Linked DNA regions of Ovis aries. The protein of the gene in region 1 interacts with the protein of each later gene in a biochemical or structural test. Links are inferred from orthologs where the notes say so. Each region holds a gene or a part of one and is shown in the gene's direction. Other genes may lie near its edges.

The links.
Region 2: the proteins of POU2F1 (region 1) and POU2AF1 are reported together in a solved structure, tested with the Homo sapiens proteins (2 studies listed by BioGRID, with this or other methods). The link is inferred for Ovis aries from reciprocal best matches to the Homo sapiens genes POU2F1 and POU2AF1.
Region 3: the proteins of POU2F1 (region 1) and SP1 form a complex in vitro, tested with the Homo sapiens proteins (3 studies listed by BioGRID and IntAct). The link is inferred for Ovis aries from reciprocal best matches to the Homo sapiens genes POU2F1 and SP1.
Region 4: the proteins of POU2F1 (region 1) and RXRA form a complex in vitro, tested with the Homo sapiens proteins (2 studies listed by BioGRID). The link is inferred for Ovis aries from reciprocal best matches to the Homo sapiens genes POU2F1 and RXRA.

What each region holds. Positions count from the first base shown.
Region 1 is NC_056054.1:119,589,775-119,597,270, forward strand, and holds part of POU2F1 (POU domain, class 2, transcription factor 1), read left to right. Parts: intron 1-5,711; coding exon 5,712-5,853; intron 5,854-7,496. UniProt on the Homo sapiens protein: Transcription factor that binds to the octamer motif (5'-ATTTGCAT-3') and activates the promoters of the genes for some small nuclear RNAs (snRNA) and of genes such as those for histone H2B and immunoglobulins.
Region 2 is NC_056068.1:21,326,571-21,334,066, reverse strand, and holds the end of POU2AF1 (POU domain class 2-associating factor 1), read left to right. Parts: intron 1-545; coding exon 546-676; intron 677-1,166; coding exon 1,167-1,209; intron 1,210-1,293; coding exon 1,294-1,559; intron 1,560-4,538; coding exon 4,539-4,853; 3' UTR 4,854-6,654; downstream 6,655-7,496. UniProt on the Homo sapiens protein: Transcriptional coactivator that specifically associates with either POU2F1/OCT1 or POU2F2/OCT2. It boosts the POU2F1/OCT1 mediated promoter activity and to a lesser extent, that of POU2F2/OCT2. It recognizes the POU domains of POU2F1/OCT1 and POU2F2/OCT2.
Region 3 is NC_056056.1:133,091,743-133,099,238, reverse strand, and holds part of SP1 (transcription factor Sp1), read left to right. Parts: intron 1-78; coding exon 79-247; intron 248-3,063; coding exon 3,064-3,263; intron 3,264-3,660; coding exon 3,661-3,974; 3' UTR 3,975-7,496. UniProt on the Homo sapiens protein: Transcription factor that can activate or repress transcription in response to physiological and pathological stimuli.
Region 4 is NC_056056.1:1,869,135-1,876,630, reverse strand, and holds part of RXRA (retinoic acid receptor RXR-alpha), read left to right. Parts: intron 1-4,732; coding exon 4,733-4,883; intron 4,884-5,449; coding exon 5,450-5,629; intron 5,630-6,124; coding exon of another isoform or gene 6,125-6,222; intron 6,223-7,496. UniProt on the Homo sapiens protein: Receptor for retinoic acid that acts as a transcription factor.

The sequences.
Region 1 (7,496 bases):
TCCCAGCATCAGGGTCTTTTCCAAATAAATCAGCTCTTCGCATCAGAGGGCCAAAGTATTAGAGTTTCAGCTTCAACATCAGTCCTACCAATGAACACCCAGGACTGATCTCCTTTAGGATGGACTGGTTGGATCTCCTTGCAGTCCAAGGGACTCTCAAGAGTCTTCTCCAACACCATAGTTCAAAAGCATCAATTCTTCGGTGCTCAGCTTTCTTCACAGTCCAACTCTCACATCCATACATGGCCACTGGAAAAACCATAGCCTTGACTAAATGGACCTTTGTTGGCAAAGTAATGTCTCTGCTTTTGAATATGCTGTCTAGGTTGGTCATAACTTTTCCTTCCAAGAAGTAAGCGTCTTTTAATTTCATGGCTGCAGTCACCATCCACTGTTTCTACTGTTTCCCCATCCATTTCCCATGAAGTGATGGGACCAGATGCCATGATCTTTGTTTTCTGAATGTTGAGCTTTAAGCCAACTTTTTCACTCTCCTCTTTCACTTTCATAAGAGGCTCTTTAGTTCTTCTTTACTTTCTGCCATAAGGGTGGTGTCATCTGCATATCTGAGGTTATTGATATTTCTCCCGGCAATCTTGACTCCAGCTTGTGCTTCCTTCAGCCCAACGTTTCTCATGATGTACTCTGCATATAAGTTAAATAAGCAGGGTGACAATATACAGCCTCGACGTACTCCTTTTCCTATTTGAAACCAGTCTGTTGTTCCATGTCCAGTTCTAACTGTTGCTTCCTGACCTGCATACAGGTTTCTCAAGAGACAGTTCAGGTGGTCTGGTATTCCCGTCTCTTTCAGAATTTTCCAGTTTATTGTGATCCATGCAGTCAAAGGCCTTGGCATAGTCAATAAAGCAGAAATAGATGTTTTCTGGAACTCTCTTGCTTTTTCGATGATCCAGCGGATGTTGGCAACTTGATCTCTGGTTCCTCTGCTTTTTCTAAAACCAGCTTGAACATCTGGAAGTTCACGTTTCACAAACTGCTGAAGCCTGGCTTGGAGAATTTTGAGCCATTCCTTTACTAGCATATGAGATGAGTGCAGTTGTGCGATAGTTTGAGCATTCTTTTGCAATGCCTTTCTTTGGAATTGCAATGAAAACGGACCTTTTCCAGTCCTGTGGCCATTGCTGAGTTTTCCAAATTTGCTGGCATATTGAGTGCAGCACTTTCACAGCATCATCATTTAGGATTTGAAACAGCTCAACTGGAATTCCATCACCTCCACTAGCTTTGTTCGTAGTGATACTTCCTAAGGCCCACTTGACTTCACATTCCAGGATGGCTGGCTCTAGGTGAGTGATCACATCATCCTGATTATTTGGGTCGTGAAGATCTTTTTTGTACAGTTCTTCCGTGTATTCTTGCCACCTCTTCTTAATATCTTCTGCTTCTGTTAGGGCCATACCATTTCTGTCCTTTATCGAGCCCATCTTTGCATGAAATGTTCCCTTGGTATCTCTAATTTTCTTGAAGAGATCTCTATTCTTTCCCATTCTATTGTTTTCCTCTATTTCTTTGCACTGATCACTGAGAAAGGCTTTCTTGGCTCTCCTTGCTATTCTTTGGAACTCTGCATTCAAATGGGTATATCTTTCCTTTTCCCCTTTGCTTTTCACTTCCCTTCTTTTCACAGCTATTTGTAAGGCCCCCTCAGACAGCCATTTTGCTTTTTTGCATTTCTTTTTCTTGTGGACGGTCTTGATCCCTATCTCCTGTACAGTGTCACAAATCTCCGTCCATGGCATCAGGCACTCTGTCTATCAGATCGAATCCCTTAAATCTATTTCTCACTTCCAGTGTATAGTTATAAGGGATTTCAATTAGGTCATACCTGAATGGTCTAGTAGTTTTCTCTACTTTCTTCAATTTAAATCTTTATTTGGCAATAAGGAGTTCATGATCTCAGCTACAGTCAGCTCCCAGTCTTGTTTTTGCTGACTGTATCGAGCTTCTTCATCTTTGGCTGCAAAGAATATAATCAGTCTGATTTTGGTGTTGACCATCTGGTGATGTCCATGTGTAGAATCTTCTCTTGTGTTGTTGGAATACAAAAGTAGGAAGTCAAGAAACACCTGGAGTAACAGGCAGATTTGGCCTTGGAGTACAGAACAGCAAAGGCTAGTAGAGTTCGGCCAAGAGAACACACTGGCCATAGCAAGATCATTAGGTGAAATAAAATTACTGAAGTATAGATTAGATTGGGTATTTCAGTAGAATCAGGAAAAGCCTGATGGTTTTTTCCCCCAGAGAATATAATTACTGTTTGAAATTTAAGCCAGCACTAAAGTATTATCCAAATTATTTTATGTTGAAAGTGTTGTAACATACCACCTACTCTGGTAGATAAAAAATCAAGAATGACATCCCTGTTTTGTTCCTTATATTTCTTTGGTAATTTATTTTAGCTCAAAGAAACATTATATATTGAGAACATAAAATGTTTTTCAATAGATATAATAATTTTAGAGAAAATGCATATTTGTGAAGAGTCTCAGTTATGAGGAAACAAATTGTAATTCACAAAGTTTTTAGTACTTTGGAACTATCTAAACCATCTGACTGGCTTTTTAAAAGAAAGCTAAGATAATATAGAACTAGATTGGTAGAAATAAATTAATAAGCTTAAATAAGTATCAGGTTGGCAGGTTTAGCAGTGCTTCAGCTCTTAAGCTATCAGCATAGCATACTCTTCGTTTCCTAGGAGATTGTTGTCCGAGTGATATGGCAAGACTGTTAAGGCTTTTAAAAACCTTTAACTTTTATACCAAATAGTGGTTCGCCCTTCTGTGGCAATTTGACCCAACACACTGGCAGGGTTGCTTCTCTCTCTTTTTCTCTTTCTCTCTCTCTTGCCTTTTTTTTAGTATTTATGTATTTGGCTGTGTGGGGCCTTAACTGTGGCACACAGACCGTCGACACCTCATGCAGGACCTTCCACAGGCGTGTGGGCTCTCACTGTGATGCGCGGGCTCCGCTACTCCGCAGCGTATGGGCCCTCGTTGCCCAGTTAGGGATCACACCCACATCCCCTGTATTCCAAGGCAGATTCTTAGCCACTGCGCTAGCAGGAAAGCCCCTCTCTCTTGTTTTGATAAAGGAGCTTCCCTGTGATCTGTGTTCTGCTTGCGGTTTTATCCTGTTATTTGACACGTCGCTTCCTTATTTTTCAAATGACTTTGACTTAGCAGTGGCAGCGTTTCACAGACCTTGACTGTGTGTATTAAGGCGCACATTACTGATGCAGGATGGGAAGATCAACGTGTTTTATGTCAGATACCTCAATTGTGGTTGTTTTAAACATTGCTTTGTATGCAGTTTATATACATTCACTCAGAGGGTAAGTTAGACATTCAAGTTATTAGTTGAAACAGACAAATTCCTGTTCTCTGAGTAAATATACACGTTATTAGGTGTTTTAAACAGTATTTTCTAACTACATAATTTGTTAATTAAAGGATTGCTGTAGATGTTATTACATAATTAGAAGGCATGCCATATTCTATACACCATCCCTCACATGTGATACATTCATTATTTCCTAATCTCAGTCTTCATTCCTCTTTTTCTCTGCTTTTAAAATAAAAAAATCAAAGTGATATTATTTAGTTCAGATTATGTATGAGTTAACTGTTCAAACATTTACCCTGTGAGGGAGAACCCAAGGTGGTTGTGTATTACGGAAGCACTAAACCATCTGATATCAAATTAGTGAAAATTAGTATATTAACTCAGAGAAAGCAATGGCAACCCACTCCAGTGTTCTTGCCTGGAGAATCCCAGAGACAGTGGGCCCCCGTCTATGGAGTCGCACAGAGTTGGACACGACTGAAGCGACTTAGCAGTATATTAACTGAGGCATCTGCTGCTGTTTAGACAATGAAAGCCTTTACGTGTGATGGTCTACTTCTGCTCTGCTTCTATGAGACGGTATATTCGGAGCTGTCAGTGAAGCCTTCTATGATTTTGTGTCTGTGCTGTCCAGTAGGATAGTCACTCTCCACACGTGCCTCCTGAGTACTTGAGAGGCAGCTAGTGGTGCTAAGGAATGACATTTCTAGTTTATCCGCTTTGAATTCATTTAAATTACACACGCAGCTGGTAGCTATTCTGTGGGAAAGATTAGAATATAGATCAGTTGGAGTTCAGTTCAGTCACTCAGTCGTGTCCGACTCTTTGCGACCCTATGAACCGCAGTACGCCAGGCCTCCCTGTCCGTCACCAGCTCCCAGAGTTCACTCAGACTCATGTCCATCGAGTCGGTGATGCCATCCAGCCATCTCATCCTCTGTCGTCCCCTTCTCCTGCCCCCAGTTCAAGTATTCTCAGAGTCTCATTTTATCTTTATCCAACATTTCTCCTCTGTTAAACTTTCTGATACAGTTTGCTCACCAGTAAGAAAATGGAGTTTAAAAAGAAATATTCTTTCTTTTCACTGACTAACCCCTTATGTAAGTGCTAATAGACAATGTTCTATCCAAAAGGTGATTTATAAAGGAGATAAATCAAAGGAGTGAGATATTCATAATTCAAAATGAGTGTTGCCAAGATAGTTGGGAGTTGACTGTCTTAGTAGAATTAGCTATGTAGTATTTTGGACCAGAAATGTTGCCTTTCTGTCTTGTCACTAAACTATTTTAAATGAGAGTGTGAATTATTTCTGCTGTATAACTGGTGGCTCAGACAGTAAAGAATCTGCCTGTGATGCCAGAGACCCAAGTTCGATCCCTAGGTCAGAAAGATCCCATGAGAAGCGAATGGCTAAAAAAAAAAAAAAAAAAGAAGAAGAAGAAGGGAATGGCTACCCACTCCAGTGTTCTCGCCTGGAGAATCCAAAGGACAGAGGCTACAGTCCATGGGATCACAAAGAGTCAGACACAATTGAGCGACTGACACTTTGTATCACCTATATATATATACAATAAGAGAGGTTTCAGCTGGAGGAAAAGCCCTCCATACATTTCAAAGGCTTATAGAGAAAGATATTTTTTGCAGTATATTCAGGGGATCATTGTTCTATTGCTATAAGGTTACCAAGTTTCCAGTGCCCATAAAGGTTTTGACTAAATGGGTCAAAACTCTCTACTGTGAATTTCTATAATGGTTACAGAAGTAGTCTTTTTAGAATACCTGGTTTTTATAACAAACTTTGAAATCCAAACTAAGAGTGCAAAGATTTTTTTTTCACAGCTTCCAGAAATACTTTACAGGAAAAAAATTAAAGGACGAAGCATAATTTCTAAGATTTAAAGTGATTTATGTGAAGTTGGATTAGTTCAGAAATATCTAAGGTTATACAGACAGCTACATCTATTAACCCTGTAGGTGATACAAATTAACTGATTTCTAAAGATTACTTAGGTCACTTTGGTTGCATCAGTTACTTGGTAGAATATCAGCACTACCTTTTGAGAGTTAGCAGAAATACTTGATATTTCAATTATTAAGAAGAGATTCAATATGGAGAGAATATGGGACAGTTTTGAATGTTGTCACCATTGAGGCCTAATTAACAGGAACCTTCACTGGAATACTGTGCTCAGCTTAGGGATGGATGTTTTTGTGGAACCTGGTAAATGGAATGATTGTTGATTCTTTGTCTAGAACAGTTACTGGAGCAGCACCCTCGAGTGAAGACCATAAACATTACATGAATCTTCTCTCTCTCTCCTTTCCTATTCTGTATTATTGTACAGGGCGATGTTGGGCTTGCTATGGGTAAACTGTATGGAAATGACTTCAGCCAAACTACCATCTCTCGTTTTGAAGCCTTGAACCTCAGCTTTAAGAACATGTGCAAATTAAAGCCACTTTTGGAGAAGTGGCTAAATGATGCAGGTGGGTAAATATATAAAATATATATATATTTCCCTGTTGATCATTGAAATTTTACAGGAGGGATTGTTGTATAAATGGGGATTACATTTCTTATTACATTATTGATACTACAGAATCTTAAAGCTCACTAATCTTGGGAGAATCAATATAAATTATGACTACATAAATTAGAGAGCTAATTCATTTAAATAGTCTAGTAATTACAAGGTACATAATCAGCAATAGTTTTTAGCTTTGGAACATTTCTTGTATTTGAGCCCAGAATGAGAGACAGTTGAAGGAAGTTGAAGAGGCTAAGAAGGCCTATGTATTTAAATAAACTTGAAAAACAAGTTTATTGGTTCTTCCTCCATGGATTATTATAAATTTGTTCCTGATAGTATTTCTGCTTTGTCATTAAAAGTGACCACACATTGGTATGTCTATACAATGGACTATTACTCAACCATGAAAAAGAATGAAATGTTACCATTTACAACAGCATGGCTGGACCTAGAGAATATTATATTTAGTAAATAAGTCAAACAAAGACAACTACTATATGATACCACTTATATGTGGAATCCAAAAAATAATACAAATCTGTATTCATGTAGAAACAATCACAGACATAGAAAAAAAAACTTATAGTTACCAAAAATGGGAAAGGGAGGGAGGGACATATTAGGAGTATGAGTTTAATAAATACAAAAAATACAAATTACTACTGTACATAGGTAAGCAACAAAGACCTGCTGTATTGTACAGAGAATTATATTCAACATCTTGTAATACTCTGTAGTAAAATACAATCTGAAAAAATGTATTTATAACTGAATCACTTTGCTATATACCTGAAACCAATAAAATATAGTAAATCAATTATACTTTGATTTTTAAAAAATGACTACCTTTTTATACATTTAAAAAAAATTGAGCTATTAGTTTTAACTTACATGCTTTTTGCTGCAGTTTCCCTTTGGAGATTTTGAATTTTGAGTCACAGAATCATAGACTGTTAGAGCTGTAAGGAATCATAGGGATCCCCTAGACTGTGGTTCTCATTGTAGGTGTGAACAAAATTCAGGTCTTTTGCAAAGACAAACCTATAACTCCCAGCTTTGAACAGTTCCACATATGGCCTCAGCATCTGTAATCTTACTGAGTTCCACAGGTGTGAACCTGTGGTCTGTTCCCTTCGTAGAAAATAGAGTGGAAAGAAACTCAGAGATGTCTCTGACATGCTCAGGGTCATTAAACTATTAAATGGCCGAATCTTGTTTAAACTTTAAATAGTTTAAAAATGTTTCATTGTTTGGTTTGAGGGGAAGGAGAGAAATACCAGTGAAATAAAGTGAGAGGTCATTTGCAAGATAAACGTTTAACAGTCAATAATTTCCAGGTTTTCTTCCTTTCATCCTTAGAGTTAATAAATGAAAGAGCAAGCAAAACCAAATCAGAAGAGCAGAACTCTCTCATGGAAGCTGAAGAGGTAGAGCTTAGAGTAAAGAGAGGAGCAGTCGACTACTGTGTCAGAACAAGTCAGAGCGTAGCAGGCGATCTAATGAGCCGTCCTGAGACAGGGCCAGCAAGAGCAGTGGGAAGGCCCATGGCAGCGAGCACATTCTAATACAAGTTATAGTAACCTTCCATACTTGCTGTTA
Region 2 (7,496 bases), on another chromosome or scaffold:
CAGAGTCCCTGCTCTTATGCCATCCTCTGCTGCCCCCTATGATGAATTCTAACCTGTCTGGAAGTGTTGAGGAGGTTGTAGGATGAAGCAAAGTCTGTGGGCCCTGGTGGTCAGCGAGGAGGGTTGTAGTAGTAGTCTTGGGTCAGGAAGAATCTCAAGAGGTTGAGAATAGTGAGAGGGACTCCTGACCCTGGGAGATCGCTGGCAGAGATGAGGAGGGGAGACCTTCACAGAAGGTGGAGAGGAGTCTAGACAGAGCTTCTGGCCCGACAGGATCCAGGAGGTGCTTAGTGTACAAAAAGGTTGGGGAATTGGGTTGAGATCACGCTGCAGTGCTCGAGCCTGCATCTTCTGGGTGGAGGGGAGCCTAGAGGGTTTGGGGCAGGAGGGGTGCTAACCCTGGGACAAAGTCCTAGGAAGTCACGTGTGGTCCCGCACCTTCAAGCACAGCTTAGGTGAGCAGGCAGACCCTGGAGGAGAGCGGGCCCCTTGGGCTGGGGGCTGTCTGCACAGGGAGACGAGTACCAGTGATGCTCTCTTTGCAGCCACAGCTCCAGAGCAAGCCCCGGCCCCACCCCGGCCGTACCAGGGTGTGCGTGTGAAGGAGCCGGTGAAGGAGCTGCTGCGGAGGAAACGGGGCCATGCCAACAGTGGGACATCGGTGACACCGACGGCGGTGAGGGGGCTGCTGTGATCAGAGTGTGTGTGTGCGTGTAGGGAGTGGGGAGTGGTCCAAGGGGGTCAGGCCGGGTGTATGTCCTTGCTCCATGGGCTCCTCAGCGAGGGCATGAGGACCACATGTCGCAGAGGTGTGGCTCCTGGAGACCTGGCCCAGGGCAGAAGAAGCTGAGTTACTTGAAGTGGGGAGAGAAATCCCACTTGAGCAGCAGGTGTCTCACACGTCCTGATAGGATTTGAGGGTCCCCCTGGGACAGGGTGAGACTGATTCCCTAAGTGCACAGCCTTCTCGCTCAGGGGAAACACCCACCCCCCTGGGAAGTATAGGTGGTGCTGGTTGGGTCGGGGGGCAGGTGCTTGTTCTAACGACAGGGGTTCTTGCCCTTCACCCCCTCCTTTCCTGCCCTGGGACCCTCTGGGTGAGCTTCCTGCAGACGGCTCGCTGGAGGTGGCTGAAACCTGGACCCCATCTTCCTTCCCCCCTCTAGGTGGTGCTGCCCCACCAGCCCCTGGCGACCTACACCACAGTGGGTAAGAGCTCCCCGCAGCCCCGGCCTCCTCCCAGCCCCTCGTCTGGGTGTCACGTGCAGCTCTGTAACGTCTTCCTTCCTGCAGGTCCTTCCTGCCTTGACATGGAGGTCTCTGCCTCCACAGTGACGGAGGAGGGGGCCTTGTGTGCGGGCTGGCTCTCCCAGCCCACCCCGGCCGCCCTCCAGCCCCTGGCCCCATGGACACCCTACACGGAGTACGTGCCCCACGAGGCTGTCAGCTGCCCCTACTCGGCTGACATGTATGTGCAGCCTGTGTGCCCCAGCTACACGGTCGTGGGGCCCTCCTCGGTGCTGACCTATGCCTCCCAGCCGCTCATCACCAACGTCACGGTACGTCACATGAAGGCATTTATGCAGAGGGCACCCTTCTAGAACCTGGGCTGATTTCCTGCTCCTGACCTTCCTTGCTGTTGATGCCCAGGATAATCAGATCATCTAAGCCCACCGTGTCCTCCAGGGTGGGGCTTAAGGCGATCTGACACTACAGGCAGAATTCAAAAAACTACCCTGTAGGTGGTTCTCACTCCACCAGAAGCATGGCTTTCTCAAAAGCTGTGTCACCTGTTGCTCAGACAAACCCCATTATTGGGTGAGTGGCCCAGGGAGGCCTTCTTTCACTCCCAGTGACTTCAGATGTCTCCCGTAGAAAGGCTGATGGCCTCCTTTGTCATGCCTTGTACTCCCTGGGCTGTCATGCCCACCTGCCTGCCGGTCTGCCCTATCTGCGCTGCTGCCTCAGATATGCTGAGTCTCAGGGATGGACCTCAGTTTTTCCTGAATGGGGAACCAGGTGATGTTTGCATGGAGTCTCTTGCCAGAGCCGGCCTCTCCTTTCTACTCAGATGATTTAGGGGGTGATTATTGACCCAATAATGGGATTTTTCAGAAAATTTCTAGGCTGAGCAACACATGAGACAACTTTTCAGAAAACTGTACTTTTGATGGAGAGAGACCCACCTGCAGGGTAATTTTTTGAGTTCCACCTCTGGTGTCAGATTGTCTGACACTCTGCCCCTTCATTCACTAGCTATGTGACCCCAAGCACAGTGCTTTAATGCTCTGAATCCCAATGTTCTCATCTGTGAAATGGGAATACTAACGAAAGAGTTGATGTCATGATCAATGGCCTGATGCACCTAGACTGCTTAGAACACTTCCTGGGCTCAGCCTGGTTTCCAAAATACAGAAAGCACTCAATAGATATGAGTTAACTACGATTGCCTCAAAGTTGACCAATAGCATTAACCAAGTGCTATCTTCAAGTGCTGGATAGGAAAGAAAGGGTTTGCTCCCCTAGGAATGGAGGAAGGAAGAGAAATAGTTTTATGTGAATGGTGGCTGTTTGACCAAAGGAATGGGAAGCCCCCAGGTGTTCAGAGGGGAAAAGACCAGTGGTTACAGCCATATCTAGCACCAGTCCAAGGAAGGCTGTGGGAGGCAGAGCAAGGCTCTCATGAGTCACTGCAGAGCCCACCCATGATGATGGAACTTGCTTTGCCCCCCCAAGCCCGTCTGTTTACCTCAAGGTCCAGTGTTATCCTGAAGCTTCTCCCCTTCAAGCACCATCCAGGCCTGGGTTGCAGGACCCCTGTCCCTCCATGCCCACCCGCTGCTCAGCAAACCAGTGGTGGGACCTGAATGATGGTGGATGGGAAGCAGTTCATTCAACACCCCTCTCAGGCAGCTCATTTCCATATCGGAGGCCTGGGGTGGGGGTGGGAAGTGATGGACACAGTGGTTCCCAACCATTTCAGGACCAGGGATTCTTTTCCTTATCCCTTTCATCAATCCCACCTCTTGCTTTGAAAAGTTCTGTGTATCAAACCAACCATATTTATTAAGAAATAATTTATTTGTCTTGCCGTTTTGTAAATTAACTTATCAAAGCTGGTTAGAGCTAACAATTTCCACTTCTGATCTGCAGGAGATAAGACCTGTATGACGGGTTGATGTAATTCTATCCCTGAGCCAAGATATCTGCAGTGGTAATTGACCTGCCCAGGTGTATGCAGGATTTCCATTTGGATTTTTTAAATACTAGAAGTGATAAGGCTTTTTTGGGAGGTTGAAAAGTCCTCTGAGACCCTTTCCAGCTCTATTATTCTATAGAAAAATACCCTAAAGCCTTGCTGCTCAAACTGTGGTCCTTGGACCAGCTGCATTGGCATCACCTGGGATCCTATTAGACATGCAGAATCCAGGTCTGATCAGACCTCCTGTACCAGAATATGCATTGCAGCAAGGTCCCAAAAGATTGAAATAAGCTCTTCCTCAGTGGTGAAGAATCCACCTGCCAATGCAGGAGACACAAGAGACGTGGGTTTGATCCCCAGGTAGGGAAGATCCCCTGGAGTAGGAAACGGGAATCTGCTTCATGATTCTTGCCTGGATGATTCCATGGACACAGGAGCCTGGTTGGCCACAAAGAGTCAGACATGACTGAACACACAGGACTAATGACTCTAATAGTTTGTTCTCAAGACACAGTGGCCACTGGAGGAAATGTAGCAGGGGACAGAGGGTGATGGGGGAGGTTTTGGCCTCTCTCACACACATCATTCCATGCAAAGACAGTCCTCTCCTACCTCCTTCCTCATCAGTGGCGTCCAGGTCCTGGTTTTGGCAGCTTGAGCTGGGATTTGTAGGATGGCTGCCATGCAGGTGAAAGATACTGTTTACAGAGCGCCTGGGAGAATGGCCCTGACCTTTGGAGGTCCCTGGAAAGGCCACAGGGGGCCCAGCTAAGCAATAGCAGAGGATAAGGTAATGGGAAGCTAGTGGAGCTGAGCTCAAGGGGTCCTCAGAATCCCAAACCTGCTGTGTGGAGCCAGGACAGTCTTTGTGTCTAGGCACAGCAGCGGCCACTTGGCAATACAGCTGCTATGCTGTGTGATGGGCTTATTGTTTAATATGCTATTTTATCATTGATTTTAAGATGCATGTCACCCCTGCACACACATATTTTGATATCTCTGAAATCTGGGTGCATTTTATATTCAATGAAATCTGGAAAAGCATCTGTTCTTCACTCAGCCCGGTGATGTCAGTCCTTTGGGGAATCTGTTTTACAGATGAGAAAACAGAGGCTTCAGGTGGGGAAGTATAAGAGGGCATATACCTAGTGAGTGACAGAGAAGGGGATGTGGAAGTTTGTCTGGCTTCCCCCTTGGGGGAGACTTTGCACAGGGGAAAGAGCCCTCTGGAGTGAAATGGCAGGACAGGGCTGAGGTGAGGCAAACAGAGATCCCCGCAAGAACTGGGGTGAGCAGTTCCACCCCTGCTAACCACCCTGCGTCTTCTCCATCACAGACGAGGAGTGCCGCCGCGCCCACCGTGGGGCCCCCGCTGGAGGGCCCCGAGCACCAGGCCCCCCTCACCTACTTCCCATGGCCTCAGCCTCTGTCCACGCTGCCCACCTCCACCCTGCAGTACCAGCCTCCAGCCCCAGCCCTGCCTGGGCCCCAGTTTGTCCAGCTCCCGATCTCCATCCCCGAGCCAGTCCTCCCGGACGCCGAGGACCCCAGGAGAGCCATCGGTTCCCTGACCATCGATAAGCTGCTTTTGGAGGAAGAAGATAGCGACACCTACGCGCTCAACCACACGCTCTCCGTGGAAGGCTTTTAGCGCTGATGCCCCCAAGAGCCTCCTGTTCAGCACCCTGTTCCCTGAAACTGGGATTTAAAAATAAGCCAGGGATCAAACCCTCCGATTCATTTCTGCTTGAAGTTGCCATTTCGTAACTACACTTTCTACCCTAAGCTAGAATTGTGAACCAGACTTTCTCCCACCCTCTTGCCCTCCTTCCATTCCTCCCCATCTTTCTCACTCACCCTTTCTTATTTCTTTTTCCATTTCGGTTCCCTTTTGGGAAGGAATCAGGGATTTTAAAGATAAGATTTGATGCCGGGTGTTGCCTAATTTCTGTGGCCCAGGGTTTTCACTTCTATCATGTTCCCTTCCTGAAGAAGGCCCCTTTCTCCAGTGCCCCCTGCTTCACGGTAGCAGCAGCCCCACTGAGCTGTCTGCAGGCAGCGACGTCCTGTGCTTTGCCATTTTGAGATGGGCGGGGTGCCCTGTGAGAAGACCAGTCCTGCCAGCATCTCCAAGGGCAGAACCAACGCTGGAGGCCTTGAGTGTCAGTTCCCACAATTGCTCCTTTGTTTGCTGTTCTCAGCTTTGGCCAGCTCTGCAGTCTAGGCAGCAGGGTCTCAAGACCTGGGGCTCAGCGAGGTGATGGGTGGAGGGTGGGGGGTGGGAAGGAACATCAGAGTGGGTAGGGGCTGGACCGATTGGGGGGGGACAGAGGAGGGATGGGGAGTTAGAGTGCATACTTGGGGGTGGGCGTGGGGGCAGGGGAGAGCAGAAGGACTGAGGAATGATTTGCTTTAATTACTTGGTTATTAAGAAGGGGAATGTACTTCAGAAAAATATAGCTTTAATAGATGGTTTTGCTGCTCTCCTTGAGGATACTTGCAAGGAGAGCTGAGCTTTCATAAACAGAATGACTGTATATGTCTTTCCATGTCCAGACCCGGCGGGGCTGAATGCAGGCCAAGATCCACTGAGATCATGGTGCGTGGGTCCTGGCTGAGTATGGCCAATGTGCCTCTTGAACTTCCATGGACCACCCTTCTGTGGAGTCAAGACCTCCCCGCCAAGCACCAACCTTCCTGGGGCTTCTAGAGCCTCAGTCAGAAGGACTGCCAGGTTTCATTTCCATTTTTGTTTTTATTTTTTTTGCTGGAGAAACATCAGATTTGCAGGGGCCCAAGCACAGCTGCCACCAGAATGCTCATCTCCCGACAGTGGCTGTATGCATGGGAAACTAGCATTAGTTGGAGGACGCCATATAGAAGTAGTGGACTTTTCTGGGGAATGACATAGATTCGCCATTTAAAATAACATTTTGGAGAAAAAATGCCTTTTTTCTTTGGATTTTTTTCTGCTTTGGGTTTATTTTTGACTTAACTTTCTGGTATCTGCCTCAAGTCCCCAAAACTGATATCTTGAATTGTTTTATTCAGACTTAATTTTTTTAGATTTAAAAGGTTAAAATAGCATTTTAGATAACAAATTCCCATCTTTGTTGGCAGTGGTGTGAGTAGGCAAGAGAGAAGGGAGTCTCGGGCCTGTTTGATCAAAAGCCCTGGTTTCCTATAAAAAACACTATGCAAGATTTTCCCACTTACGATTGGAAGCTTTGAGAAGGTGCAGAAGCAGCCTCTATTAGGGAGTTTAAGTTGGCAAAACTAGCAAAGCAATAAAATCAAATACTTGACATATTTGCTAAGATTTAAGACGTGTTTTTTTTTTTTTTTTTTCTTCTTTTCTTGAGGTCAGATATCTTGATTGTAACCATCCATCTAAGCTTCTTCCTGGGGCTTTCTGTTAAGATGGAAACATTTTCAATAAAGATTTGCTCAGACTTTTCTGTGCTGAAGTGTTTTATTTCTTATCAGATTAATCCCCTTAGCTTGCAGTTCCATGTCAGGCAGTGTCGTCCAAGGAAGGAGCTTATACTAGTCTTGTTGACTTTGCAATGTGACCAGCTGCCAGGGAAGATAAGTGTAGCCCCACTCTGCTTGCAGCCCAGTTCTCCCAAGCAAAACATGCAAAGCCAGGAGGCTTGGTGTCCGGAAGAGTAGGGCTCTGAGAAAAAGAAGCAAATCTTTTTAACCCTATCACTCTTCCTCTTATCTGTCGAACATGAGTACCTGCTCATGATGCTGGGTGTCCAGGGATAAGTCAGCCCCTGGCACTTCCACAGCAGGTTCTTAGAGTCCACTGATCAGAACAGGGACACAGGGACGTGTGACATGGTGCCAAGTGCTATGCCCAAAGGAGGCCAATCTCTTCTTAGGACCAGACATCACAATGAAATGGGATCTCTAGAAGCCAGCCAGCCTCCTCTAACACCAGTCCTTGGCATGAGTTACATTTTGGAGGGGTCGCCTTTTCCTGGTGATTTTCTGAGTTACCGAGAATTTCTGAGCTCACTGCCTTCATTGGTATTATTTACTGGGATGATTGTCGTTTTTAAAAATGATCTAATTTATTCTGCCGTGTCCCTTATTTCCAGTTTGGGGGGACAAAAATACATCTGATTATTTGCTTCACTTTTGATTATCACCACCACTGTCTTCTTTGTTTATTCTTCATGTAGATCATAATCCAGAAAAAAGACCTGAAAGGAAAGGGATTCGAGGCTTTTTTCTCTAGATTTACTAAGGCGCAACTGAAGGGAAAGACCTTTTAAAAATGCGCTTT
Region 3 (7,496 bases), on another chromosome or scaffold:
AAGGGTCACTGTGGCTGTGATGATACCTGTGGCTATGATGACCTTCCCACTTTGACCCTTGTACTCTCTTAATTTCAGGTGATCATGGAGCTCAGCTTGGCCTCCATGGGGCTGGTGGTGATGGAATACATGATGACCCAACAGGTGGAGAGGAAGGAGAGAACAGTCCAGATCCCCAACCCCAAGCTGGTCGGAGGACCCGGCGGGAAGCATGCACTTGCCCCTACTGTAAAGATAGTGAAGGAAGGTAAGTTGATTCAGCCGGTCTCTTTAAGAGTGTAGGATGAAAAATTAGTAGATTAGGAGGGAAAAATAAGTGGTTTTTTTTGTTTTGTTTTGTTTTGTTTTAACTTTAAGACTTGGCAGGGTTACACAGGGATCAGAGATAGTATAGTGCATTTGGTTAGGCCGAATGTGGTCTTGATTCCAGCTCTGGTCCTTTCATCAACTCTTAGACCCTGGACCTTCAGAGATGCCTGCTTTCTGTTAGAGACAAGGAAGTCACATGGAGCCAAATGGTCAAATGAGTGTTACTTTATGTCTGTTTTGAGATGTTTGTTTTTACTCTTTAAAAAAATTCTGTTGGTGAGATGGTTTTAACAAGATAGCTTATAAAACAGCCTGGCAAAGAAACGGAAACATACCTACTGTAATGATTATTTTACAGTGACTGTGTGAAAATCATGAGTTTGTTTTTTTTTCTTCCTCAAAATAGATAAAACTACTTATTCTGGGTAGAAAATTCTTCAATCAAATAATCTAATATCACCTACAAAACAGACTTCTGATAGATTTTTGCATTAATGTGCTGGCTATACAATATTATCTCTGAAGAGTTCCAGGTTATTTCTCTTTTCTTCAAGTCACTGACTTTGAAAGAGAATAGAAAGTCATATAGGTTTCTAATTGCCTTTGAAAAAAGTCTGTTAAAGTTTTGCCCCATTAAAAATAAGCACAGGGGACTTCCCTGGTGATCCAGTGGTTAAGAATCTGCCTTGCAGTGCAGGGGACTCAGCTTGATTCCTGGTCAGGTAACTAAGGTCCCACGTGCTGCCAAGCAACTGTGCTTACACGCTACAACTAGAGAGTCCATGTGTCGCAGTGAAAGATCCTACATGCCGCAGCTAAAGACCTGACACAGCTGAGTAAATAAATAAATACTAAAATAATAATAATAATAATATGACAGAGTTTCCCTGGTGGCTCAGTGGTAAAGGATCTGCCTGCCAAGGCAGGAGACACAAGTTCAGTCCTTGATCTGGGTGGACCCCACATGCTGCAGAGCAGCTAAGCTTGGGTGCCACAGCTGTTGAGCCCCGTGCCCTGCAGTAAGAAAAGCCTCTGCACCTGGGGAGAAGCCCCTGCGCATTGCAGCTGGAGAACCTCCACACAGCATCGAAGGGCCAGCACAGCCAAAGTAAAGAAATTACGTTTTTTTTTTAAAAAAGAACTTAAGAAAAAAATAAGCACAAAAATAAGAAATGTACAAAAACAAAAAACAGTTTGAATTCTTTGTAGGTTACTCTATATTATGGAAAAAACCCGAATCAAAAACACTTAAGTACATGGACTTCCCAGGTGGTCCAGTGGTTAAGATTACACACTTACAGTGTAGGGAACATGGGTTCAATCCCTGGTCGGGGAACTAAGATCCTGCCTGTTGCATAGCACCCCCCAAAATTTAATTAAAAGGGGAAAAAAAGCTCTTGAGTACAGTAGAGTTTCCCTCTCACAAAGCTTCAAGTGGATTTAAGTTTTTGAAATAAATTCTCTGACTTCCACCTAAGTATGATTTCATTTCTGTTATGTTTTTTTTCTCTGCTCCTCTGCTAATGTGTGCTGTTAAAACCCAAGGCAAATCTCTTTTGGAAATCTCCATAGTGCCCACTAATGGATCACACATGGTACAAATTGGTTTGGCAAAAACATTTCAGAACTGATTTCCTGAGAGGAGCTTAGGATTTGCTCCATATAGGGAATTTTTTTTTTTTTTAAATATACCTTGAATTAGTTATGGTCCTTTTTTCCCCTTTTTAACTTTTTTCCATCCCATCTTCTTCCACTGATGTCTCTCATAGTACTCTATCTTTTCAGCTTTTAATCTTTACCTTTTGGCTCTTGACCTTTATTTTGGAGAAGGGAAAGCTTTGTAGTTGTAAAATATTATGTTTTAAAGTTCTCCACCAAATGCTTAATGGAGAGACCTTTTGTTCACTAATAAGTTCCCAGTCAAAAATATCACCACATCACCATATTCACAGTGGCTACCATGGAAAATGCATGTATTGAGACTTAACATCCAGAAAAATACAGGAAAATGCCTCATAGATTTCACAAGTCACCTTGAAAATGACATCACACATTGGAATTGACTATAAAGATTTAGCTGTTGATATTAAAAGTGAAGGCTTTTGGGAATTCCCTTGTGGTCCAGTAGTTAAGACTCTGCACGTTCACTGCAAGGGGCACAAGTTTGGTCCCTGATCCAGGGACTAAGATCCTGCATGCCATAAACAAATTTAAAAAAATAAAATGAAAAAAAAAAAAAGAATTGAAAAAAATAATAAAATAAAATAAAATGAAGGCATTTGTGTGTGTGTGTTGAGAAGTCTTTTTTCTTTTTGTAAACTGTACATATCTAAGTGCACATTTTGATGTTTATTTATTTATAGCTACACTAGGTCTTTATGGCTCTGTGGGCTTTCTTTTGTCGTGATTGGGGGCTACTCTTTGTTGTGGTGCACCGGCTTCTCATTGCAATGGCTTCTCTTGTTGCATTGCACGGGCTGTAGGGCCCGCAGACTTCAGTAGTTGCAACCCCTGGGCTCTAGAGCACAGGCTCAGTAGTGGTGGCACATGGACTTAGTTGCTCCATGGCATGTGGGATCTTCCCGGAACTGGTTCGAACCTATGTCTCCTAAGTTGATAGGCAGATTCCTTTTTTTTTTTTTTTAAATAAAAACTTCGATTAGTTTTGAGTGGGTCCAGTAATTACTGTGGGTACTTTATGACTCTAATTTTGTCTCTAAAATGAACAAAGAATAATTGTGTTTTCATTTCCAGGGGCTCTGGGGATCCTGGCAAGAAGAAACAGCACATTTGTCACATGCAAGGCTGTGGCAAAGTATATGGCAAGACCTCACACCTACGGGCACACTTGCGCTGGCATACAGGCGAGAGGCCTTTCATGTGTACCTGGTCATTCTGTGGGAAACGCTTCACACGTTCAGATGAGTTACAGAGGCACAAACGCACACACACAGGTGAGCGGGAACTTGGGAAGGGAGAGGTAGTAATGGACCAGAATGAAAAGACAAAATATACCTCGGAAGTAACTAAAATTTCTGAGCAACTTATGTTTGAAATTGAATGTATGGATCATAAATGGCATTGGAGTTAATCTGAAAACCCTTAAGAAATAAGGGTTCTGAAGGTCCTATCTTACTTTTCTGCTATACTTCTTCCTTTCTGAGGACTCTCTAATCTTTACTCTTTTTTCCCCCCAAAAGACAAAAGATAATCACCAGAATTTTCTTGTTTTTAATCACCTTTAAGATTAGTCTTATTCTGCCTTATATAGTTTGAAGGGAATGAATTGAACAAGGTATCCCTACTTCCTAAGATGTGATTGTCTCATCTTCTTACTCTTCCTTTACCTAGGTGAGAAGAAATTTGCCTGCCCTGAGTGTCCCAAGCGCTTCATGAGGAGTGACCACCTGTCAAAGCATATCAAGACCCACCAGAATAAGAAGGGAGGCCCGGGTGTAGCCCTGAGTGTGGGCACTTTGCCCCTGGACAGTGGGGCAGGTTCAGAAGGCAGTGGTACTGCCACCCCTTCAGCCCTTATTACCACCAACATGGTAGCCATGGAGGCCATTTGTCCGGAGGGTATTGCCCGTCTTGCCAACAGTGGCATCAATGTCATGCAGGTGGCAGATCTGCAGTCCATCAATATCAGTGGCAATGGCTTCTGAGGTCAGGCACCTGGGGCCAGAGACGTATGGGCCATACCCGTCAACCCTGGGATGCAAGGTAGCATGGGTCCAAGAGACGCGTGGGAGAGTGAGCCGTGAGGCATTGAAATGCGTGGTGGTGGGAAGAATTGGGGGTGGGACACAGAAGAGATGGGGTCCTGGCACCCACCTGTGTCATCAGTACCTTCTTAAAGTGGGAAACATAGTGAAAATTCTGTTGGTGCCACCTTTGATGAGCATTTGTTTGACCCCAAACAGTTTCTGAACACTTCTTACCCCAGCCTCCCCTTCCTGCATTTCCCTTCTCAGCTCCCCCATGATGGATCCCCCCCTTTCCTAAAGCCATCATGCCTTGATAAATATATATGATCATTGAAATACTTTTTAACAAAAACAGATTCTATATTATATATATATATATAAAAGATATATAGAGATGCATTTGCAGGGGTTGGCTGGGAGGAGGAAGGAGACCATTCGGTGACCAAAATACCTTGGTCATTTTTTTATATTGCCTTATTTCCTTATGGCTGAGCCTTGTTGTGACACATCAAGATTTTCTATAGATGTTGTCTTGGCTTCCCACCAGATTAAGCATTTATATGCTCTGCTTTTAGTTTATATATACATAGATAATGTTTTCCTTTTCTTAATTTTGTCTTTTAATTTGGGATCAGCTTCTTGCACTCTTTCCCTGACTCAACCCTTTCTGTCTCCCCTTCTCTCACCTGATCACTTCATGTTTTGTTTTTGGTAGTGGTCCCTGGATGAGGCACTTCTGTCATGTTTTTATAAAGTCCTTAGTCCCAGCAGCAGAATGGAGAAGCCTTGAAGCTCAGGCGAATGCTTGAGGTAGCTGTGAAGAGAGTGTTCAAAATACTACTGACGCAGGCACCCTTTTGGTGCTGGAGAGTCAAAGGCACCTCTCTCTTCATTAGCTGCTCTAAGCATCAGGAATCAGAAGTCTTTCTATGGAATTGTACAAGAGACCTTTGAAAGTTATAGTCTGGGATCAGTTTGTGCAAACTGTGAAAAGATGGTCAAATAATAGGTAGGAGCTTTCAATAGGAAAATGATGTGCTCAGAAGTGGAAGTGACTCAAGTAGTTCAGTTCAGGAGTTAGTGGAGTATTTGGACCTTTGTGCAACTGTCTTCCAAGGTAGCTCTAAGCTTTGATGTGTGGGCTTCTGAGTTCACGTTCTGAAAGGAAATAACACTTCCTCTTTTGAACATCTCCAGTAGTTGCTTTCCCATTATGTTGTTATGGAGTGTCAGCCAGTGACTGTTCTGGATTTCCATTCTGCAGAACTCCAGAGCATGGATCAGTGGCAAGGCAATGGTTCTTTGATCTTTCCCCTTAGCTCTTCCTAGGGTGGCTCCTGAGGGGAAAGGAAGCACTCATGATCATGGGAATGATAGCCCAGAACAAAAAGAAATCTTGTCTTACCACTGTGGCTTATAGGGGAGACCAGGGAAAACCATCCTGCTTTTCTCCATGGCCTGATTCCTGAAGAGACTGATCCAAAAATTACAGCGGCAGGGAACTCTTAGTGCATTTGGCACTGAGATTTAAATGCAACCAGAGTTGTCCTCAAGGCCCAGCCATTAAAACATTGTCTCTCTTGACTTTCTGGTACCTCGTCAGAGAGCTTTTCACTGTGAGGAAGTGTGGAAATGGCTGTGTGTATGTGTGTAATCTGTTAGATTGGGGATAGGTTTTCTGTTAGCCAATACTATAAGAGACCTGCAATAAAAAATTACCCTAATCTGATAGAAAGTGAAGTGTTTGTGTATGACCGTGTGTGAATGTGTGTTCGTGCTTGTATATATCTACACACAGATGAGAAATTATATTTGAAATTGTTGGAAAATAAATCAAATTCAGATCAAAATGCCTTTCAGGCCCATTACCTAGAAATCTATCTTAAAACCTGGGTATGTTCCTGAGGTCATTGCTTTGCTTTTGCTAAACTAGTTACAATTATGAATGGGGGATATTCTACTGCACTTTTAAAAGAAGAAACTATTTTTGTGTTTGAAAGTGAAACCAACATCCAGATCTATAGCAGAGTCCTAATTCCTCTCATAATTCTATTTACCTTGACTATAAATAGATGATGCCATGATTCTACTATATATTTTATATAAAATCTATCCAAATTAGGGTTTGGGTAAGTTTATGTTGTTGTTTAACCTGAAATACAATAACTGTTAATATTTTAAACAAAAGCTCACTCCATTTGGTTCTTTCTCTGCAGACTTAATAGTGTTTTTGACACAGAAGCTATTGCAAGGAACTTTCCCCTTATCAAATTGCATTAATACTGAAGTAAAAGTTATCTGCCCAGCCACTTATCACACCCTTTGTTCCCACTGAAAGGCAGAACTCTGAACATGTTATTTTATATCTGTAATCATGTACATAGGCATCTTCTGGAGGAAAGGGGCAAGATAACTCACTGGAGTGTGCAGTGTTTTGATAGAACATTTCAAGGAATGGAGTCTTCCCCGGAATGAAATTACTAGATGTAATCTAGCTTAATGATGCTGAAGCTTACACACTTTCAGGTTATTTGATGATGGTTTTCTCTGGGATGGAATGCTGGTTTACCCCCAGCTCTTAGCACAAGCAAATTTATATCCAGTTCTTTCCACTTGTCCTAGTTCCTTCTCACCAAGGAAGCTCAAGATTCAGTATCTTGTTTGGCCCTAAAACGAAAGCCGCTACTGCTTTTGTCTCCCAGCAGCAGTAAGTCACTCAGTCTTTTCCACAGGAAGTTACCCACATTCCTTGAGTCAGGAGCTTATTGCTGAAAGTCCCTTTTCCTGAACTTTTTGCCGGAAGAAATTAGTGTAACTGACAGGCATATTGATTCTAATTTTTTTTTTCACAAGTTGCTCTTTTATGTAACTTTCTAATGACCAAACCTTGTGGGGTTGGGGGTGCCCAGAGAAGTGATAATATTATTTCCTTGTCCTTTCAGGTTGCCTGTTCACATGTATCTGCTTATCATTTGATTGTCTCACTTTTTACCCAGAGCAGTAACAACCCACATCGTCTTCCTTCAGGGACTTCCCAGCGGGCACCCTGTTTATGGGTGCCATGTAGAATGCAGTTTAACAGACATTTCTAAGAATTCAGAATAGAACTCTTGATCCCAGAATGTATAGACTGAAGTGTTGGGTAAAGATTATGACTGGGGGAGGGTTAGAGACAAAGGCTGTAAATTACTATGGCTGATTGGTTGATTTCTACTATATACATATATATATTTTTGCTTTTGTATATCCTATATAGGAAACTAAGCATTGTATTTTTTTTTTTTTAACAAATCTAAGAAAGCACTATGAACTGCAGATGTTTGACTTTCAGAATATATTTTGTATTGTTAATATCTTCACATTGTGTGAATACTGGAAGCTGCAGATCTTTGCTAGGATGCAATAAATTTATACACTTTCTGAGGGGTTCTTCTGGGGGTATTAATCAGGCCCCTGTTTTGCTTTGGGGGAGCTCTGGTG
Region 4 (7,496 bases), on another chromosome or scaffold:
GAGATGACCTCCTGGGCTTGGTGGTCTCCATGGTCGAGTTTGCTCAGATGGTTCTTGGAACAGTCTGTCTTTTGGGGTTGTGTCCGGATCAGGAGGCAGCTGGTGCCTGGCAGAGCCAGCTGTTGTCTCGGGGACCCCTGAGGCCTGGTCCACTGCCCACTCATGCCAACCCGCCTAGTGTGGGCACTTCTTGTCTGAACCCCGACAGAGCTGCCCAGGGCCCCAGCAGCTCATCTCCTCCCCTGGCTCTGATGGTCTCCTGGTGGGATGTTTTGCTGAATGCCTGGGAGATCTGCTTGAACCAAGGGTTCTCCTTGTTTCTGGGGCTCAAACTGTCCTTCCTGACAGACCTGAGTTCTCCTTTGCTGAGTGTCATTCATGTCTGGGATCAGCGGTCATCTTTGTGGAGGAAGGTCCCAGTAGAGCAAGGCCAACCCCACAGAGGGAGGCCCCCCATAGAGGAAGGCACTGCCACCCCAGTAGAGGAGGCCCCCCATAGAGGGAGGCCTCCCAGAGAGAAAGCACCGCCCCCATAGAGGGAGGTCCCTGTAGAGGAGGGCCCACCAGTAGAGGAAGGCACCCCCATCACAGTAGAGGAGGCCCCCCATAGAGGAGGCCCCCCCATAGCGGAAGGCCTGTCCATCAAGGAGGCCCCGTAGAGGAGGGCCTGTGACAAGAGCTCTGGGAACTGTCTCCCTGGGGAGGGCAGGACAGCCATCTCGAGAGGGAGTCCAGCACAGGCCCCCCTGCCCAGAGAAGTGTGGCTGACGGTGTCAGCGTGTCCCGCGGGCTCCCTGCCACCCGGGAGGCGCCCTGCCTCCAGGACTCCCCACTCCTGGCACAGGAGGGCAAGATGCCTTTGAGGTCTGGAGCCCACCCCCTTCCTGTCAGCTGGGCCTGTCCGGAGCTGGTCTCGGGAAAGCTGGTCTTGGGAAAGCTGGTCCCGGTCCCCTCGTCAGCCCCTTTGTTCCTGGGGGGCCCATGCTCCCTTGTGTCCCCTGGCCTTCCAGAAGCAGACAGAAGGCTGGAGGGTTGGTACGAGGGGTCTCAGCCGCCTTCCTGGGATTGGCTGTGTTCTTTGTAGCGTAGCCACCACGCCCGGATCCTCACTGGCTGCAGAGTGCCTGCCGCTCAGCGAGAGGCAGATGAGGCCCAGACTGCACCTGTCCCCTGGGAACCAGGCCAGAGGCAGCACCTGCTGGTTCTCAGGCCTGCAAAGCTCCTTGCTGCCCCCAGGCCTGGTGCCTGCCCTGCATGCCCCCAGGGCTCATGTGCGGAGGAGCCTGGGTGTGAGTCTGAAGTGGGGCCTCTGCGGAGTAGGGCTCGAGGGTGGCAGCGATGCCCCCAAGCCTGGGGTTAGCCTGTCCGGGGGTAGGGGTGGGGCGATGCTGGGGGGTGGGGGGTGTGGGGCCTCGTCTCTCCTAGTAGGTTGCTTCCGGCACACAGCGAGGCTCCCGCCACGCGATGGGTGCTTGCTGAGTGCAGGTGCTTGTGAGCAAGGAGCCGCAGGTCCCGAGCCTGATGCCGGGGCTCAGGGAGTGGAGGGGTGCTGGTGTGTCCCCCGACGTTCAGTGCTGACCCACTGCTCAGCTGTCCGCCTGCCCTTCTGTAGGTCAGTCAGGCCGCAGGTAGCTTAGCCGCGATCTGAGCCCTGGGCTGAGCCTCTGGCCACCATCCCTGGGAAGGCCTCAGTCCCCACCACCCTGCCCCCCATAACTCCTTCCCTGGGACCTGAGTTCAGCTTCTAGGCTTCAGCAGTTTGTCTTAGAAACTTGGGGTTCCCCATATTCATGGAAGTGTGGGTGGAGTTCGGGGGGGCACCCCCCCACCTCCGCCTCAAAACCACAACCGCGAAGTCAAGGGGCCGGAACCAGTGAGGCGGTCTGACTCCTGCTGCTGGCGGGGATGGCCCCCGACTCGACCGCGCCCTGCAGGGAAGTGGATGCGGGTGGTGCTGGGAGCTCTGGGCAGAACCGAGCCGGGCTGCGGGCACTGTGGCCTGAGCTGCCCCTCTTCTCCCCTGGTTCAGGGGCTCCATCAACCCAGGGGGCGTTCCCCACCTCAGCCCAGAGCTCGCCTGCAGTGTTGGGCACGTGTGGGCACCTTGGCGCCCTGGCCTCGCCACCCTGACAAGCCTCCTTGGGCAGGACCTGCATGGGCCCTACCTGTCCTTGCTGTGGGCACTGCGGCCGTGAAGCTGCATCCACCAGGCCACGTGTAGGAGTTTGCCCTCGGCCTTGACGGGCAGGCAGAGGCCAGTGGGGTCCAGGGGCCTCCCACCCCATGCTGACGGGGGTGATTGGCCTCACCGGCTAGGGCTGGAAAGGAAGGGTGTGGTGGGCGTGGACGAGGGGCGGCGAGAGACAGGAGGAGATCTGGGGCCCCGATGGAGCCGGGTGGTTATCTCAGCAAGTCCTGAAGGCTCTGCGGGAACTGAGGTGAATGCTGAGGACGCGAAAGGGGAAATGGGACGGGCCCCCACCCTGGGCACGCTGCGGAGCCGCCACTGACGCTGACCGTGCCTGAGGGCTCCGTCCCAGGTGCTAAGGCCCACCTCAGGTTATGGAGGGCGGACACCGGTCCCGAGGGCCTGCCTGTGGGGGGCTTGGGGACAGGACAGGTGGGCCCTACCCACCCAGCATGGTTTGGACAGACACAGAGGAAGTGCCCGAGTTCCTTTCCGGGGTGCCGCCCAGCGGATCCAGCTGCTCAGGGTTGTGGCCGGGCTCGCAGGCCTTGGGCGCAGCCTCCGGCCCACACCGGTGTCCTCAGGGCCCCTGGGGACCTCCCTTAGCCTCTGCTGCTGACCGGCCACCCCGGCCACCCCGGTCTCCTGCCCTTTTACCAGCAGTCCTTTGGCGTGCCCTCCTCCGAGCATGTGCTTGGCGGCTCCCTCTGGCTGGGTGCTGCCTTGCGTCGTCCGCGGCCTGGCCGGCCTGGGGGCGGCCCCCCCGAGGCCCCAGTGTTCTGCAGAGGCTGCTTGCTGTACCCCGAGCTGGGCTCATGAGCTCTGCTGTCAGCGTGGCCCCCCGATTGCTCCAGCATCCTGACGGCGACCTTTGGACGGAGGCACTCCTGTCTCTCTGGTTTTTACACGAGAAGCCTCAGGCCCAGGGCGATTAGATAATTCCTCCAAAGTCACTCAGGGAATGAAGGGGGCAGAACCCCCATGGTCAGCTGTGGCCGCCCCCCCAACCTCCCGGCGAGCCCCACCCGGGCAGGGGGCAGCGAGTGGCCTTGGGTGCCTGGCTGGGTGCTCAGTGGATGGTCTCGCGGCTCTGGGCTGGCCTATTCCTGGGGCCCTGGACACTCTTTCAGCATGCAGGGAGTCCCTCAGAGCTGTGGCTCCAGAGGCCTGAGCTCACACCTGCGTCACCCCTTAAAGCTGTGTGCCCCTGGCTGGCCTCTGCATCCACTCTGGAGGGGGGCGGGCGGCTCTTCCCGCTCACTTGGGGCTTCCCACAGGGCACAGCCCAGCACGATGGCACTCGGCAAATAGCTGGAGCCCCCTCTGAGCTGACCGTCTTCCGGAAAATGCTCCTGAAGCCTGCAGACTGTGCTGGGGGGTGGGGGGTATTCTTTGAGCCAGTGGGGTCCTCTGGACACCCCTCGCCCCTCCCCTTGTGTCCTGACAGCCCCACATGGCCATAGCTGGCCTCCCGGCCTCCCTGCAGCCCCCTGAGTCCCGTGGGCTTCAGTCTCCTCACGGAACCAGGTGGCCACCTGGGCAGGCGAGCCCAGACGTCCAGGGCTGGAAGAGCCCGTGCAGGTGCTCGCGAGTGCTCTGTGAGCACCAGCTCCTCCTGTCCTGGGAGGAGGGGGATAGGAGTCAGGGCCCACAGGGAGGTAAGGGGGTGAGGCTCCCGTGTGCAGGAGGAGCCCGGCCCAGGGCGACCCGGGGGCAGCGCGGCGGCCGCAGTCCGTCCAGAGGCGCTGCAGGACCTGACTTCCGCCTCGGTCAGGGCTTTGCAGAAGTGAGGGCATTGGGGGGCTGCCGGCTGGCGCCCTGGCGCCTGTGGGGCGCGGCTGGCTTGCAGGGTGCGGTGGGAAGCACCCCTGGGCCCTGGGCGCTGACGGGAGAGTTGGGGTGGGCGCAGCGGAACCAAAACTGCTGTGTCACTGCCGAGGCAGCTGTTGCCACGGTGACCGGTGAGTTTCCCACGCTTCCTCCTGGCGCAGCGTCAGGATGGCGGGAGGGGCGGAGGGGGTGTGTGTGTGGGTGAGGCTGTGTGTGTGTGTGTATGTGCGAGGACTGTGTGTGTGTGTGTGTTTAGGGGTGCTGTCTCCTCCCTCTCCCCTCCCTCCTCTCTGGGGTCAGGCTTCGGTGCCCATCCACGGGCTGGGGTCCCTAAAGCGCCGGCCACACCAGCGGGTCCCAGAGCTCTGGCTGGCCGCTGGGGGCAGTGCCCGGGGGTGGCAGGCAGTTCTCACTTAGGCGGACGAGGGGCAGGGGTGGGAGCCGGGGCCTCCTGGGTCCTTCTTCGAGCCTGGGGTTCCGTGGGAGCTGGGGCCGTGGGGGCAGTACGGCCTCCTCCAGCCTGGCCAAGACGACGGGGCGGACATCCTGCCGGGCTCCCTGGGGCTGGGCCTGCCGGGCCACATGGCTGGGGGTGGGTGAGGCCCCCTCCGAGCCCCCGTTTCTCTCTCCGTGGAGCGGGGCGTGGCAGTGCCTTCCTTGTCCCGCGGACGCCCCGTGGCGCCTGCCAGGGCCGACCCCACTTTCCCTCCGCAGCTCAGCTCGCCCATGAACCCCGTGAGCAGCAGCGAGGACATCAAGCCCCCACTGGGCCTCAATGGTGTCCTCAAAGTGCCGGCCCACCCCTCAGGGAACATGGCGTCCTTCACCAAGCACATCTGTGCCATCTGCGGGGACCGCTCCTCAGGTGAGCCGCGGGACCCCCGGGGTGGGGCGGCGGGGGGCCGGGGGCGGGGCGCGGCGCTGGACCCCGGGGGCGGGGTGGGGCGGGGCCGAGGGCGGGGCGGGGCCAAGGGCGGGGCGGGGCGGGGCCGTGGGGCCCGGGGGCGGGGCCGTGGGGCCGCGGCGGGGCGGGGCCGTGGGGCCGCGGCGGGGCGGGGCCGTGGGGCCCGGGGGCGGGGCCGTGGGGCCGCGGCGGGGCTGCAGGACCCTGTGGGGGTGCCGGGGTGGGGGGCGGCAGGAGCCCGGCCCTGCCAGCGAGGGTCCGCGGGAGCTCCGAGCCGCTCACCCTGGACCTCCTAGTGCTTCCAAGTCCAGGAGATGGTGGGCGGGGCGGGTGGCTCCGGTGGAGCCAGGGGGCAGCTGGGCTGTGCCCAGGGCCAAGGGCCCCTCGCATGCCCCCCCGAGCCCAGCAGCCCCGCTGGCAGACCGGCTGAGCCTTTCCGGGGCGCCTGCCCGGACCTGGAGAGGATGAGGGCTCCAGGCCCCCTGATCCCAGGCCACGCGTGGCGCTCACGGCTGCCCCGCCCGCAGGCAAGCACTACGGGGTGTACAGCTGCGAGGGCTGCAAAGGCTTTTTCAAGCGGACGGTGCGCAAGGACCTGACCTACACCTGCCGGGACAACAAGGACTGCCTGATTGACAAGCGGCAGCGGAACCGCTGCCAGTACTGCCGCTACCAGAAGTGCCTGGCCATGGGCATGAAGCGCGAAGGTAGGCCTGCCGGGCGCGCGGCCCTCCCTGCTCGCAGCTCCTTTGCGCAGTTCTGATGACGGGGCTCAGTACCCCCAGAGGCCTCCGCTGCCGCTGCGTTGGCACACATCCCTGGGGGCCGAGTTCTCTCACCCACTGACTTTTGCCTGAGCACCAGCTTCGCGCCAGGCTCTGGGGTTACAGGAGGGACACCCTGGGTCCTGCCTGCCGGCGGCTCCCAGCCCCACTGGGGACAGGCATCCATCAGAGCCTCTCCGAGGTCCTGGTGGGCCCACGAGTGCGTGGGCTCTGGGGGGCTGCGGTGGGAGGTGGGGGCTCCACCTGGAACGAACCCCAGAGATTGGACAGGCCGGTCCTGGGGCCTGCTTGTTGCCGCTCGGTAGGATGGTTCAGGAGACCCGGGGCTGGGGGGCCGGGCAGGGAGCGCTGGACACCATCAGGACAGCTGAAGCATGCTGGGCGCCGGGGTGTCCTGGGCTCTGCTTCCTCCCGCAGATGGGGCGGGGGTGCCTTGCGCCCCAGATCCTCACAGTAGAGAGACTTGGGCTGCAGGCCTCCGCCTCAGGACTGGGGCCAGGCTTCGTCGACAGCAGGTGTGTGTCGGGCGGTGGGGCAGGGAACATGAAGGCTGCTCCCCCGGGGTCACTGAAACTGTCCTGCTGTCCTGCTGGCCGGGGCCTGGGCCTGGGGCGGGCTCCTCCCAGCCCCTTGTTGTCTGTGGGCCTCGGCTTCCCTGGCCCAGGCTTGGGGGCTCCTGGCTGGGAGGTGCTGTCTGGGGTGAGGGTCTGCATGTCCCTCTTGCACTGTCTGCTCCCCGGTCCCCACAGGCTGGTGGTGTGTGTGCCTTCCCCCCAGCCATCCCATGGGGGAGCCGGGCGGCTGTCTGGTCGCCCCGCGTCCTGTGGGGGAGCCGGGCGGCTGTCTGGTCGCCCCGCGTCCTGTGGGGGAGCCGGGCGGCTGTCTGGTCGCCCCGCGTCCTGTGGGGGAGCCGGGCGGCTGTCTGGTCGCCCCGCGTCCTGTGGGGGAGCCGGGCGGCTGTCTGGTCACCCCGCGTCCTGTGGGGGAGCTGGGCAGCTGTCTCGTCACTGGGCACTGCCCTCTTGTGGAGGCTGCAATCTCCGTGTCATCCATTCGTCTGTTTCCTGGGCTCCAGGCCTTCTTGCTGACGACTCGAGACCTCAGCTGGGCCAGTGGTCCTGCAGGATCTGTGCCTTGAGGCTGAGAGGCAGTGATGGGCTGGGGGTCTTGGCGCTGGTGAGGGGCAGTGTGCCCATGGACCCCGCAGAGCGGCACCTCCTGGGCTCCAGCGTGAGCTGGGGGGCCGGCCTGGGCCTTGGTCTGCCCACCCAGCCTTCCTGATGAGGGCGCGTGTTCCATAGAGACAGTGGCCCACCCCTCTGTGTGCGGGTGGAGAAGCTGAGGCCCAGAGGGTCTGGGGCTCAGCCACGGTCACATGTGGGGCTGGAACCGGGCCCTGGCTTCCAGTGCTGACCTTCTCCCTCCAGGCCAGCAGGAGGGCAGAGGACGTGTGTACATCTGCACCTTGCTGTGGGTCAGCGAGCCGTGGCCATCTGTCCACTGAAAGTGACCATCACACAGCCAGGAAGGGCCCTCTGGGAGCAGTCAGTGCTGTCTTCGGGGAAGCCTGGGGCCTCTGGGAACCCAGAGGAGGCCCTGGCCCTGCTGTGGGCATTGGGCAGCACTTGGTGGACAGGTGTCCAGCTGACCCCTGAAGAGTGGAGGGGAGTTCAGCAGACCACGTGTCTGGATGGAGGGGCAGCACGTGCAGAGGTCGAGACCCCCAGCTGATGTGGCTCCCTGCGGGCCCCACAGAGTGACTGAACACAGGTCCCCAGGGCTGTCCAGT